Linked DNA regions of Saccharomyces cerevisiae S288C. The gene in region 1 interacts genetically with each later gene. Each region holds a gene or a part of one and is shown on either strand. Other genes may lie near its edges.

Region 1 (5,543 bases):
CTTTGTACTCTGAGGTTGACTTTGCTGCTGTTAGCAAGATGTTGACCATGGTTCCATGGTATTCTTCCAGGCTTCTACCAGAATTGGAATCCTTGTTAGGAACTTCTACCACCGCTGCCTCTTCTACTGAAGCTTCTTCTGCTGCTACTTCTTCCGCTGTTGCTTCCTCCAGTGAAACTACTTCTTCTGCCGTCGCTTCCTCCAGTGAAGCTACTTCTTCTGCCGTCGCTTCTTCCAGTGAAGCTTCTTCTTCTGCTGCTACTTCTTCTGCTGTCGCTTCTTCCAGTGAGGCTACCTCTTCCACCGTCGCTTCCTCTACCAAGGCTGCCTCTTCCACTAAGGCTTCTTCCTCTGCTGTTTCTTCAGCTGTTGCTTCTTCCACCAAAGCCTCCGCCATTTCTCAAATCAGTGATGGTCAAGTTCAAGCCACTAGCACTGTTTCCGAACAAACTGAAAACGGTGCTGCCAAGGCTGTCATCGGTATGGGTGCTGGTGTCATGGCCGCTGCCGCCATGTTATTATAATCTCATTTTTAAATGGAATTTTTAATGTTCGTATATACCAATTTATCTATTGAATAGTTTTTTTTAAATTTTACTGTTTCTTTTAAACCTCGAATTATTGTGAGAACTGATTTCATCAACTGGAGGCTGTAGTGTACGTTTTGAAAACGGAAATGATTTACCGTTTTCTTTTATGATGATGCTAGGATAGGCACCTTCAAACATGCATGTCTTCCTGCCCACATTCTGAAAATATTTAACGATGGATGAAAGAAATCAACAATAGAAAAGGCCAGTTGTCAGTTTTTATATAATACAGAGAAGTACATATGACAGTTTAAAAGTTAAGCATTAACTGGTAAGTTGAAATAATAATATAATCATAAGCGGAACGAACATTTTCGACACGTACTAAAATCATAGTAGCATGGCGGCAACAGCAGCTAAAGCACCGGCACCCATACCGATAACAGCCTTGGCAGCACCGTTTTCGGTTTGTTCAACGATACCGGTAGTTTTAGATTGAACGCTAACAACGGTAGCAGACTTCTTAGCTTGACAGGCGGAGTCACATACGGTAACTGTAGTCTTTAGTGTAGAGAAGTCAGTTGCAGTAGAGGTACCTTCTTTGCATGTACTGCAGATAGTAGCGGTTGAAACCTTAGTAGAATTGTTGTAACCGGTGGTGGAAGCTGGAACGGCAGATGTTGAAGAGTAGTCACAGACAGTGGTTTCTTTGGTGACAAGAGTGTTGTCAGTTTCAGTAACAGTGGTACCGTTTCTGGTTGAGATAATAACGCTGGAAGCAGAACTAGCTGGGGTGGTGGTGGTTGTGGAGTTGTAAGGAGCAATGGTCGAGATAGAAGTCTGGGCAGTGGAAGAAGAGCTAGCAATGGTTGAGTTGTAAGGAGCAACGCTTGAGCTAGCAGGTCCGGCCGAAGATGAAACAACTGAGGAAACTGGAGAGGAACTGACAGCTTCAGAAGAGGAAACGGCTGAGGAAGAACTGACAGAGGAAGAGCTAACAGACTCGGTCGAAGAGGAAACAGCGGAGGAAGATGTGACAGCAGAAGAACTAGTAGCTTCGCTTGTAGAAGAAGCAACGGAAGAGCTGACAACTTCACTTGAGGATGGCGCAACAGAGGAGCTGGCAACTTCACTTGAGGATGAAGCAACGGAAGAGCTGACAACTTCACTTGAGGATGGTGCAACGGAAGAGCTGACAACTTCACTTGAGGATGGCGCAACAGAGGAGCTGGCAACTTCACTTGAGGATGAAGCAACGGAAGAGCTGACAACTTCACTTGAGGATGGCGCAACAGAGGAGCTGGCAACTTCACTTGAGGATGAAGCAACGGAAGAGCTGACAACTTCACTTGAGGATGGTGCAACGGAAGAGCTGACAACTTCACTTGAGGATGGTGCAACGGAAGAGCTGACAACTTCACTTGAGGATGGTGCAACAGAAGAGCTAGTGGATGAAGCAATAGAAGAGCTAGCAACTTCACTTGAAGATGTGGCAGCAGAACTTGAGGTAGTTAGAGAAGCATCCATTGCTTCTAATTCTGGAAGCAGTCTAGAAGAGTACCATGGGACCATAGTCAACATATGCTCAACAGCAGAAAAGTCCACTTCAGAGTACAAAGTGGTGTAGGAGTCATCACTTGGATTTGCAACCAATTGCGCAGCAATATCCATAATACCAGCTGGCATTTGGTCCAAGGAAAAACCTGAATTTGGAGTGTAGGATAGGGTGATGTAGTCGGCAATGTTGGTCTTAACATCATCTAAAACAACGTTCAATTCGTTGATTTGTGCTTGGGTTTGAGCGTAAGCAATAGCAGCAAGAGCGGCTAGTAATGTGATTTTAGAGTAAGCCATATTTTTTATGGTATTAATAAGCGAGTGAATAGGTTTTTGTTGCTGGTTTCTATCAGAACAAGAGTAGGGAACGAGATAAGTAAACGGGCTAAAAACTGATCTGTCCTAGCGATCCTTCCCTTTTTATATTCGAAAGCTTGGGATCATATCTTACTGCGTGGAAAACAAAGAATTTGCATCCTCCCTTTTGGACTATCCTACTTGTTAGAAATGCATCGTTTAGGAACCCTGTTCTATTATTTTCCGTCATTTTTTGAGAATTTCCATTCCTTCTAAAAGTGGCAGATGGGTTGTTACGAGATTTTTACTGATAATTCGCGCGCAGCGTCGCCTCTCCGCGAGTTTCAGTGTAAGCTATTGTTGAAAAGTACTTCGTTTGCCTTTTTAAGTTGCCTTTGGTTGCCATTGTTGTATCTTCAGGGTTTTCTTCGGATCACATCAGCTGTGAGAGTACGGTTAAGTTTGGAAGTCACAACTCGATTATGCCAGTTCGTAAGTGAGCACTAGATGACCTTGCTTTCCCCGTACGAGCCGGTTACGGTAGCAACTTTTGTTTTCCTTGCGCGGAGTGTATGCCTATTCTGATCTTTAAATTTCCTGAAGTGTCTGTCGTGCGCCGTAAACGAATTATTACACACACACGAATCTGGGAAACCGTGAACCCCATACATTGTCTTTTTTTTTTCACAGTCCCTTATCAGTACCGTTTGGCTAACAAAAGCATAAAATATTGTTCGTTCAGATGACCCCTTCAGTACACCGCGTTTACAGTTTCAAAGTTCCTTTTAGAATAGCACCCTGTTCGCCGGCGGATAATTTGCACGCCGTATGAAGGAAGAACATATAAAAACGCAAAATATGAGGCATAAACAATCACAATATCCTCACCTTAGAAGTTAGCCGTAGCGGTTTTCTTGCGCGTGCTTGTTTCTTTTCTTAGTTCTAAGCTTCAGCAAACCCATCCACAATCTTTCTTCAAGAACTTTATCGTGTCTACTTCATAACAACCTGCTAAACAGATTGTGAAATCGTTCCTGCTCAAGCAAGTAGTTTATGATAAATCGTCTTGTAATAGCTCGGCAAAACAACATCATATATGAAAGTGTTTCAAGTTTTTTGCCTAGTAGCAGACTGGAAATTCCACCACCTCTCTTCCAGACTTCGGTTTACATAAGAACTTAATGGTGTGTAATTTTTTTACATACTTCTGGAAGCAGATATCATCGGCCCCCAAAGTCGCCTTCTGCAAAATAATGTGGAGATCTTATCTTGTTTTTCTCTTCTTTATGACACCAAGGATACAAACATATTGTCCTGTACCGGTACTAAGGTCAATGGCAGTATTAAATATTATCTCTCCGCTTATAATTTTTGTCAGTCCTATTAAAAAGCAAGACAGTTTACACAGCAGCGCTTGTTACGCAAATTTGACGTTAGTGGAAAAGCTGCAACTTTGGCATTCTATGTCAAACGATTAGTAATATAGTTGACTACTTTCGTAGAATTCCTTCCTCAAGAAAAATTTTCTCCGCCTTTCCTCTCTGAAGATGGAAATAACGCTGCATGGGGAAGAAAATAATGTAATTTTCGAAGCGAAAGCGAGAGAAACGGAGGGGAAAAATAAAAGTGTTTGGCGTATCATAGCCTCATTTGGAAGAATTTAACGCAGTGTAGTTTTCTTGGACGATACAGTAAACTCGACCAGGCACTAACATTACAGAAAATCTCGTATTGATATTGTTATTGCTTAAAGGGTAATCAAGGTAAACAAGAAAGAAGCTCCTCGTTGTCCGTAAATTTTTTAATAAGGAGAGAGAAAAAGAGAGATAACCAAGAGGAGAAAAAGGAATCTGCATCACATTTATTCAGGATAGTACGTTGGCTGATTTAGTACTCAGGATAAAAAATTCTATTTAAATAATGAGACCGAACAAAACAAGTCTGCTTCTGGCGTTATTATCCATTTTATCGCAAGCGAACGCCTATGAATACGTGAATTGTTTTAGCTCACTACCCTCTGACTTTTCAAAGGCCGATTCATATAACTGGCAGTCGAGTTCACACTGTAACAGTGAGTGTAGCGCAAAAGGTGCAAGCTACTTTGCCCTTTATAATCATTCAGAATGTTATTGTGGTGATACTAATCCATCTGGTTCGGAATCTACTTCCTCTTCATGTAATACGTATTGCTTTGGTTACAGCAGTGAGATGTGTGGTGGTGAAGATGCCTATTCTGTGTACCAACTTGACTCTGACACAAATAGCAATAGCATAAGCAGCTCAGATTCAAGTACGGAGTCTACTTCTGCGTCGTCTTCCACAACTTCTTCAACAACGTCCTCCACAACATCAACTACATCATCGACTACATCATCAACTACATCATCAATGGCGTCTTCCTCTACAGTACAGAATTCCCCCGAGTCAACTCAAGCAGCTGCCTCTATTTCAACGTCACAGAGTTCGAGCACTGTAACGTCAGAAAGCTCGCTAACTTCGGATACTTTGGCAACGAGCAGTACTAGCTCTCAATCACAGGACGCCACTTCGATAATCTATTCCACTACTTTTCACACTGAGGGCGGTTCCACAATTTTTGTCACGAACACCATCACGGCAAGTGCACAGAATTCAGGATCGGCCACAGGTACAGCTGGATCTGACTCTACGAGTGGAAGTAAAACTCATAAAAAGAAAGCCAATGTAGGGGCAATTGTAGGCGGCGTTGTAGGTGGTGTAGTGGGAGCCGTAGCCATTGCTCTTTGTATCTTGTTGATTGTCAGACACATTAATATGAAGCGGGAACAAGACAGGATGGAAAAGGAATACCAAGAGGCGATAAAACCAGTTGAGTACCCTGATAAACTATACGCCTCTTCATTTTCATCTAATCACGGGCCCTCTTCAGGTAGCTTCGAGGAGGAGCACACCAAAGGGCAAACTGATATTAACCCTTTCGACGACTCAAGGAGAATAAGTAACGGAACATTCATAAATGGCGGACCAGGAGGGAAAAACAACGTTTTAACAGTGGTCAATCCAGACGAAGCTGATTGAAGAAACCCAAAAAAAATTATTATATTCTTAAACTATTGCCAAGCAAGTCTTGTTCCTTCCCATTAATTTTTTCTTTTTCCGATTTCATTTTGCCAAATCATC
Region 2 (4,637 bases), on another chromosome or scaffold:
CTTCATTACAAATGAAGAATTTCAAAGCGTATCTAGTTCACCAAAAGTCACAATATCTTATTATTATTTGGAAGCTTTTATATGCATCTAATGGTCATAAATCCCATCTCACTTTATAAAACAAGTTACCGCGAATGTATCCAGTGATACAGAATAGAGTGTAACAAATGAGAATAAAAATACCATATTATCGTTTAATTTTGGTAGGGTACGCTAAAATAAAGTGGTGTTTGCGTCTCCATATAACTAAAAAGAATTGAAATGGCCTACTATCGATTAGACTATTCAGGCATGGAAGCAGTAAGAACATTTCTTGATTTTGGAAAAATGAGATTAGATTATTAATTATTGTGTTTGTGTATATAATTTATTTTGCATATTTCATAAAGAAATTAAAATTAGATTATTAAATATTAAGTTTCATTAGTGACATTAAAAGAAGAAAACTGATGTTTTGAAATGTGTTAAGCAAAGAATGATTAAGACAATCTCAAGCTGCTCTAAGCAGTATCTTCGACAGCTTGCTCTGCTTCAGGTTCGGGTTCGTGGATTGCAGTCTCTCCAGATGCTCTTGGGCTCTCTGGAACAGCTTCTTTTGTTTCAGGAGCCGCATCTTCCACATCGTCCGTAGCATGGTGATGAGAGAATCCTCCTGTCAAAGATAGCCTTGGCAATTTGCCATCACGGCTGACTGCAATTAGCAAGTAACATGGATAAATGGCAAATACACATAAATCCAAAACACCATAAAAGATAGCCTCACCGTCTGGTTGAATACGGTTACCACCATCACTTAGACCCCAACAGATAAAGTACAACCAAACGATTACCATGCAGGTACACAGCATAAGTGCATTGAACCCTCTAGTTTTCAAATTGAAGAATTGACGTTGGCATATCACACCTTGGGTAACCAACATAGCGACAGCACCAATGGTGTAATAACCCCACTTGTAGGTGGACTTGATCAATGAACCAACTAATAGCGAAACAACCCAGAATAAGGTACCCACGATTTGAATTAACAGCGAATGTACCATATCCAAGGCGGAAATGTCGTCATTCTCACCAGTAGTACTAGCGGCTAACTCGATTAAAAATAAAAGGCATGGCCAGGACAAGAACCAGGCAATATATTTCGAGTAAAAGATTTGTCTAATACCGGGAACTTCACCTGTGATAGACTTGCTAACCTTGACGTGGTTAAATTCAGCTTGAACACCAGTCCAACCTAAATCAGAAGCATAAGTGAAGAAAGCAAAAAATTCAAAGAAAGTGATCAAAAATGCAGGAGCTAAGGCATATCTAGTCAATCTGGAGCCCTTGTTCTCCGCAATGAAGAACATCACAACATAGCATAGCAATATAAAGCCAAAGACTGCAAACACTGCCCATAACCAATCCGAACCTCTCTTGGTAATGTGCATATCCAGGCCATGTGGTGGATTAAGCCCTAAAGCCTCGTTACGATTTAAAAAGCTTGATAGCGTATCGTTCATTTGAAATTTGTTGTTTTTAGTAATCAAAAGATATTAAAGTCTCAAACTTGTTGTTTTGTTTTTGTAATTATAAATAATAATAATTGAGTTAATATTTGTTGTTGTGTTGTATTGCAGAATGTAAAAACAAGAAACAAGATTAGAAAGTGAATAGGTGTTACGCTAAATAATTGAAGACTCTCACAGACTTATATATGATTTTTTTAGTGTGATACAACTTGTAATGAGGTAAGGGATTGATATTATACTTTCTAACTGATGATGAATATGAAAACTTTGGCCAATTAGGGAGAGGAAAGTTTTCGATGAGATGCTAGAAAAAAACTTGTCCTTGCCATAGCAGAAAGGGATGATGAAATAACGAAGATGAGCTAATTTGGTATTCGAATAAACATGCAGGATGTGGCGGAAGGGATCGGAATAAGAGTCGGGATCGGGATCGGGATATGGCTTTGCTTACTTTAGCCATACCAAATATTCTTACAAAGCACGCTTTCGATGCGTTTTTGCCTTCTGAGAGAATCCTCCTACGGCTCGACCCTTGAAAAATTCTAGAGGATCTGGAAAATGGCCAACAAAATCGCGCAGGGAGACGCAAGGAAAGTAAGTCAGATGGATCCGACTGTATGTAACAAGGGTTGCTGCAGCGGTTTTCCATCCCTTTCGGCACCCTGCACAAGTAGTTATTCTTACTTATGCAAAACGGATATGAGCTACATAGCGTTCATTTTTTAGGTTTTCAGAAGCTATTACAACGCAGTAAAAAGGATACACAACTTTCTTACGGGGAAGAAGAATACGGCTCAATGCACCCACTTCAACCCCCGGTATCACGCGGCACTAAAGTTGTTTGATTGTAATAGTAATACTGCTGTTGAGGTTTTCTTCTTCAGGGCTGCTCACAACGTGATATATTTGAATTGACAGGACGTATTCAGCGCAGTTGAGGAAAATTAACATATGACATGCGCAGGAAATAAGTGCTCAAGTTTTCTACTTTTGAAGAAAGGACTTTGGTTTACTTGCCTACTATCTCCATGTCAAGTACTCGGTTGTATGATGTTAAGGAGCGCAGGGAACACTAATCGATAAAAAACCCTTATTGGCTATTACTAAATGTAACGGCCGTGCTCTAGTGAAATTTGTATAGAAAAATGGGTTCTCTCGCTCAAAATGGGCGCCATTACTTGTCTGGTCAAATTGAGTTCCTGGATATAATTACATAAACGGATTGAAATTTACATAAGGAGTATAATAATTCCGGAAACTATCTTGAGTGCAATGCCATCACGCGGCCATGCCTTGACATAACATGCTCTCATCAAAAAGGTGCAAATTTTCGCCAGTTATGGTTGATATCTAAAATCTACTGGAGTTCATTTTTTTTTTTATTAGATATCCTTTTTGCAAGCCTTCTGAAAAAAAATTTCTCATGTGGTACAGCGTTGGTTACTTAAGCTGCTTAAACTAGATCGATGAGCCATTCTTAAATCAGAAGACTGTGACTGCGAATTGTAGGCATCTTCACTACCCTGTCCATGAAGCTCATTTTCGTTATCATCAATTGGTGCTATCTTATAACTTTGATAAAGAGCTACCATACAAAAAAGACTTAACGACCACCAACTGACCCAGGCGACGTCATTTTGCTGGGACCAAGACATAATATAGCCCCATACTAAGGGACCTATGAAACGAGCAGAGGCAGAAATACTAATGGTGGCGCCATTGATGACTGATCTACAACTCAAGGGACTCGAATTATGAATTAATAACATAATTTGTGGTGACGTTAAAGCGCCACAAAATGTTTTTATCCCTGTGATTATGTACAAGTAGACGACAGTATACCAGCTAGGAATCCGTTCATTCTGTAGAAAAACAACGTAAGGAACCATAACGTACATAATAGGGTACAGCTTGACTAAAGTTCTGAAAATTGTTAAACAATCGAAATTTCGATCAACTATGGGAAAAATGAAAATAACCACAAAACAACCAAAGATACCTGTTGTCGACAAAAGAGTACCGGTTTGTTCTGGTTCATAACCTATACCGCCAGATATTTTCCACGGAAATTTTGAAGCCAGCTTCTTTGGATTTTCTGGATCTACGGCTAAATCATAAGCTAAAAAAACAGGCAAAAATTCGTTGTATACAATCAAATGTAAAGCCATAATAAAATTCACCGATATAGGGTAAAATACTTTTGTATGAAAAACGTGATGAAATATACTACTTTCTTTACAACCGTCTGGAGCTGTATCTATATTGGCATGCACAGCGTCTGTTGGTTCATGCAGAGAATATGTCCTAATCAGGCCTACAGACTGTCTTCTTGTTAAAATAGGATCAATCGATTGTATGCTTTCAGTATCATCGTCATTGGTAGTATTCACTAGGGGACTATTTTCATCCTCTTCACTATCTTGTCCTCGAATGCTGTTCACATTCTCATTACGGTGGTGAATGTTTTCCGAATCATCCTGAATGCGCTTTTGCCAGGGTCTTCTTTTCGGCTGTATACCAAATATATTCTTCTTAATAAAATCACCGACCTCTAAACCGTAATCTCTTCTATCTTTAAAAGCAGGATGTGTTTCTTCCAAAAACAATGTTGCATTAGTTAAACCAAACATCAAAAACATGCACACTACCACGTTTGGCAAGGCGTACGGATATGACCTAATTATTCTTTTTGCAAAATGTGGAAACCATAGTGGCACTTCATTCATTGTTCCATCTCTAAATACAAGAAACCCACCGATCATAGGCCCAACAACGGCACCAAATTGAAATAATAAAGGCATAGTACTGAAAGCTAAAGCCTGATGTTTTCTTTCAGTTGCTATTTCACCAATAATGGTTCTAATAACGCCGACGTTACCATTTAGCAATCCCATTAAACTTCTTGCCACCAAAGCCTGATAGAAATTGCGTGAAAATCCCAGTATTAACAATGATACAGATGTTCCTATAAGCCCGCAAGTCAATGTTATTTTTCTGCCATGCTTTTCAGAGAATCTACCCCAGTGGTACGCAGATATGACTTGGCATAACGCAAATGATGAAGATAAATAACCTGAATATTTGGACACTTGAGCATCATTGGGAGCAATATTAAAATCTCTAACCATG
Region 3 (5,132 bases), on another chromosome or scaffold:
ATGTTTAAAAATAAAAAATAAAAAAGTATTTTAAATTTTTAAAAAAGTTGATTATAAGCATGTGACCTTTTGCAAGCAATTAAATTTTGCAATTTGTGATTTAGGCAAAAGTTACTATTTCTGGCTCGTGTAATATATGTATGCTAATGTGAACTTTTACAAAGTCGATATGGACTTAGTCAAAAGAAATTTTCTTAAAAATATATAGCACTAGCCAATTTAGCACTTCTTTATGAGATATATTATAGACTTTATTAAGCCAGATTTGTGTATTATATGTATTTACCCGGCGAATCATGGACATACATTCTGAAATAGGTAATATTCTCTATGGTGAGACAGCATAGATAACCTAGGATACAAGTTAAAAGCTAGTACTGTTTTGCAGTAATTTTTTTCTTTTTTATAAGAATGTTACCACCTAAATAAGTTATAAAGTCAATAGTTAAGTTTGATATTTGATTGTAAAATACCGTAATATATTTGCATGATCAAAAGGCTCAATGTTGACTAGCCAGCATGTCAACCACTATATTGATCACCGATATTAGGACTTCCACACCAACTAGTAATATGACAATAAATTCAAGATATTCTTCATGAGAATGGCCCAGCTGTTCCTTCAACATTTGAAGAAGATCTGAAATGACCTCGAGTCTTTGATTTAAAAGTGAAACGCGCTGATTGATCTCTAAGTAACCTCTTGTTGCTTGGTATATGGGTTCTAACTGTGGTTCTGACCACATAATTTCTGGAGAGTCTAAAACTGATCCATGTAGATTGATATTTATCCTCAAAATGAATAGCTCCCCTATACTTTTCATTATATCTTCTTTGCTCATAGAAACTTTACCGCTGTATGCAATTTCTTGTGGTATATCCTGAGTATCTTCAATAGTATTATCCACAAGCTCTTCGAAAAGTGAAATTTTTACGCTTTGAGCAATTGCATGAGAGATAGAGAGTTTTACCATGTAATTTGAACCATCTCTCAAGGTAATAAAATCGTTATATATTCTTGGTTGATAACTTTTTGTGACATAATAATTGAACTCTTCAACTTGAATATCTTCTTCCGCCAATTTTTCTTTTTCGAACTTTTCTATATCGTTTAAGAAAGCTTTTTCTTCTCTTTCAGTAAACCCCCACATAACGACAACACCATATTCAAAGATAAACAGATCTGGGTGCTTGTCACTAACAATAATTTCACCGCCCTCATCATCCAACCTAATCACATCTTCATCCTCAAATCTTTTGTCGCCCCTCCAATCGTTGTAAATGAAGGGAGTGTACAAGCATTCATCAAACAATTTAGGATGAGTATGATGTAGCTTTCGACAGTCCTTTAACCACCTTACCAGCTCTTTCATATTGTAACTGCTAGCAGTACAATATGCAGTTGACCTGGGGAGTAAATGTCTGTGAGCTTTTCCCAACTTTTCAGCATCCCTTCTAGCAGGCTTATCTTTTATCCTGTTTACCTGAGAATATACTTCCTGATTCTTTAAATCAGTAAGTCTTTCGCTATCTCTTTGGAATGGTTCTTCTGGCAAAAGTTTTAGTTTCTGTGCTGTGCGTGATGTTCTTTGAGCGCCCGATCCTGTACGACTTTGTTTACTTGTCGGGTTGATCATGGCACTTCCTGTATACGATGCTCTAGACTTTCTTGTATCTTGTGGGGTAGGTAAGTACTTTTTTTGGACCAGTGATGGCCTACTGTTATTTGATGTTTGGATGTCATTATGAAGTAATGCATGGCGTTCCGGTTGATCATCATTACTATCTACCATGACTAATTGAATATTAAATGTATTTAAAATGCTAATTTAAGCTGAGTAGTAGTTGGACAGATTTGTTTAGCCGCAGTTACGGTGATAGTCGGCAAAGGAATAATTTTACGGTTACTTGATATATTTTCGTGCTAAGAAATCTTGTGCACGAAAGCGGACAAGGTATTGTCAGCAGTTTTTCGCCCTAAATCGCATTATCAAACAGAAAAAACAAGAATACACCAGTAAAGCAAAAGGAGCCGACGGTTCTCCATTTTCCTTAGAAAAAAGATTTTCTTCTGAGAAAGGAAGGATTTCAATTAAAATATAAGGAAATGATTACCACGCACATATATATTAAATCGTTCTAGGGGCTAGAATTGGATGAGAAGCAGCCAGGATATAGGTAATAGTAACACATAAGAAATGTCAGTTGAAGAAAAAAAGCGCAGACTTGAAGAATTGAAAGATCAGAATGTGGTGCTTGGACTTGCAATCCAAAGGTCACGACTTTCGGTGAAAAGACTCAAATTAGAATACGGTGTTTTACTGGAGAGGTTGGAATCCAGGATAGAACTTGATCCTGAGTTAAACTGTGAGGATCCATTGCCGACTCTGGCCTCCTTCAAACAGGAACTATTGACGAAGCCATTTCGAAAATCTAAAACTAAAAGACACAAAGTAAAGGAAAGAGATCCGAATATGCCCAAGAGGCCCACAAATGCATACTTATTGTACTGTGAAATGAATAAGGAAAGGATTAGGCAGAATGGCTCTCTGGACGTGACAAGAGATCTGGCAGAAGGTTGGAAAAATCTTAACGAACAAGATAGGAAACCGTACTATAAGCTTTATAGTGAGGACAGAGAAAGATACCAGATGGAAATGGAAATATATAATAAAAAGATATCTAATATAGATGCGGATGATGATAAAGAAGAGAATGAACAGAAGATAAAAAATAACGAGGAAGGATCATCTACAAAAGTAGCTGATTCTAAAGGAGGTGAAGATGGAAGTTTAGTTTCCTCTAACTAAAAATTAAAAATTCCATTTTTTTCTATTTTCTTTGAAGATATCGTAAGACGTTCTAGGCGCTTTATCCAGAAATTGTTCAACTTTATTGTTTTGTATATTAGATAAAAAGTTGAGCCTTTAAAAACTGCATAATGTTTCCTCTGGCTGCTAATGTACCAAAGCTAATGGAAAAGAAGATTGTTTGGCCTGGAAAACTTTCTAGACGTGGCTTTATTACCAGGGTTGTGTAAGATTATGTAAGATGGTCAGTATGTAGCACTTACAATGGACCTTTCTTCTATTCCCAAGGTTTCCATGAGAAAATTTCGGCTTCACCGGTGTACGTGGGCAGACGATTCCTAATATCACTATTCAAAATAATACAGCAAGTTTTAGAATAAATACTACCCATGCACCAGCGTGTAGAGTTGCCAAGATCATTCTGCCTTGCGGCCAGTAGTGGCTCTACCGCATTAGTTTGAATTTTATCGTATTTTGTGAATATTAATATTAAATATTGACAATTTTATAAATTAAAGTCTTTGATCTATATATGCATCAGCTTATTGGGTCCACCAAGAAATCCCCTCGGCGTAACTAGGTTTTAAGCATTGATAAACCTTTCAAATAGTGCAGGTTTGGCGTCTATTTTAATATTTCCGAATGCTTCTGTTTGACTCAAACCAATACATCCTTCTGTAGCAAGTGATAAAATATCGAAAAATCCTCTACTGGCTTCTCTTTTAGTAATATTTTCTGGTTCTGTATTTGCTTGACTTTTTAGTACATCCGTGAATATTACTTCTTTTTCTTCGCTTAATTCCTTCCTTAAAATCTTCGCCATTTGAACAATAGCTTTAGAAGCCACCTCACCGGGAGTAGGACGAACTTTTTCAGTTTGGATGGTAGTTTGCTCATTTCTAGTCTTTGCGTCGATGATATTCTCTTCAGGAAAAGGAGCCTCATTTAAGCCAGCATCAATTGGTACGAAGTCTGACATGTTATCGGTCAGTTCATTGAAGGAGTTATCGTTTGTTCCCGCATTACTAATTACATCGTCGGTAAGATTAAGCGACACGTTTAACTCAGGTTCTTCAATTGACCCTTCTCGCCCATTATGTATTTTTCTTTTTTTTAGAGATTCGTAGGATAAGAAGTTCTTAAGGATTGGATCTGGTAAATAGGACATACTTTCAGTTATTTCACTCCATAATCTTTTAGTCGTAAAATTGGTGGGCTGTGGAGTCAATAAATTATTCGATCTCTCCTCTTTGTATGTATTGGATGAAGCTATGCTTTCTGAATTTTCTGTTTCTTCATCGATTTGAATACTTTTGGTATTCAGTAATTTTGAGTTCCTTCTTGTGCCAGTTTGTTTTGGCTGTGATTCTGTCATGGCATCGGTTATCGTATCTATATTGCCTGCGGGTGCTTCTTTTTCTATATCCAGATCAAATCCAAAATCCGTAGGCTCCTCAGACATGATTGATTCACCTAGCCTTCTTCCTTGCTCAACAGAGTTATCGTCATCATCGTTGTTCTGGTCATTTTTTTCGGTAATCCCTAGATCCCAACCAATAGTTCCAGCATCATCAAGAGGGAAATCGTCATCTTGTATGTAATTTTCGTGCGTATCAAAGTTGCGTGAGCTTTGTCTTGTTCCTTCTTCCCAAGATTTTGAAGTTATCGGACCTTCCTCGATGTCAAAATCAAGGTTCATACTAGACAAATTATTATGTTCGAAATCTTCATCTGGACTGAATCGTCTACCGACCTCAAGTGAAGTATCCCAGGGAGCAGCACCTTGGACTTTTCTTTCCATCGAATTCTCCTGCGCCATTAAGCCCACTGGTATAGTAGTATCATCTAAGAACTCTAACCCTGGGGTGACCAAAACTTCTCTTTCTGTAACGGCATCTTCTAACATCAATTGATGAACCCTTGTTACAGTGTTCAGTCTGTTTACTGTAGAAGTCATCTTCTGGCTTGTTTTAAATAACATACTTATCTTCGTTAATGTGTCCTTTATATCTGTAAGGAGAAAAGTGGCCTGTTTGGAATATACACGAACAATGCCTTGAAGTAATTCGCCAGATGTTCGTAAAGTTATGTATTCATTGTCCCCTGATTCGTCATCACAGCCAGAAGCTTTTGCAATTTCCTTTGCTGATTCAGCAATATGTGTTTGGATAACCGATCCTCTTGGTATATTCGACATATTTGAAGCAAGCCATATTTGTGCTAATGGACCCTTATTGGTGGCAAGTCTTAAAACAGTAAGACGTTGAGGATTTTCTGTAACCATTGTCGTGTTTCTTGTAAAGTAATTGTGCAATTGAGTTG

What was found. Genes that interact genetically often act in the same process or in processes that back each other up.
Region 2: mutations in YOR008C-A (region 1) and HSP30 together harm fitness more than expected from each alone (negative genetic interaction), as found in Saccharomyces cerevisiae (2 studies listed by BioGRID).
Region 3: mutations in YOR008C-A (region 1) and RMD1 together harm fitness more than expected from each alone (negative genetic interaction), as found in Saccharomyces cerevisiae (2 studies listed by BioGRID).

Annotation. Positions count from the first base shown.
Region 1 is NC_001147.6:341,176-346,718, reverse strand, and holds YOR008C-A (uncharacterized protein), read left to right. Parts: upstream 1-3,637; coding exon 3,638-3,862; downstream 3,863-5,543. Other genes in the region: TIR2 (putative GPI-anchored mannoprotein), read left to right, coding at 1-524; TIR4 (Tir4p), read right to left, coding at 921-2,384; SLG1 (Slg1p), read left to right, coding at 4,305-5,441.
Region 2 is NC_001135.5:155,609-160,245, forward strand, and holds HSP30 (Hsp30p), read right to left. Parts: upstream 1,500-4,637; coding exon 501-1,499; downstream 1-500. Other genes in the region: YCR022C (uncharacterized protein), read right to left, coding at 1,813-2,157; YCR023C (uncharacterized protein), read right to left, coding at 2,930-4,637. UniProt on the Saccharomyces cerevisiae protein: Probably cooperates with other heat shock proteins in the translocation of polypeptides through membranes. It may counteract the altering effect of heat shock on the plasma membrane.
Region 3 is NC_001136.10:444,645-449,776, reverse strand, and holds RMD1 (Rmd1p), read right to left. Parts: upstream 1,794-5,132; coding exon 501-1,793; downstream 1-500. Other genes in the region: NHP10 (Nhp10p), read left to right, coding at 2,199-2,810; MCD1 (kleisin alpha), read right to left, coding at 3,394-5,094. UniProt on the Saccharomyces cerevisiae protein: Required for sporulation where it is believed to have a role in meiotic nuclear division.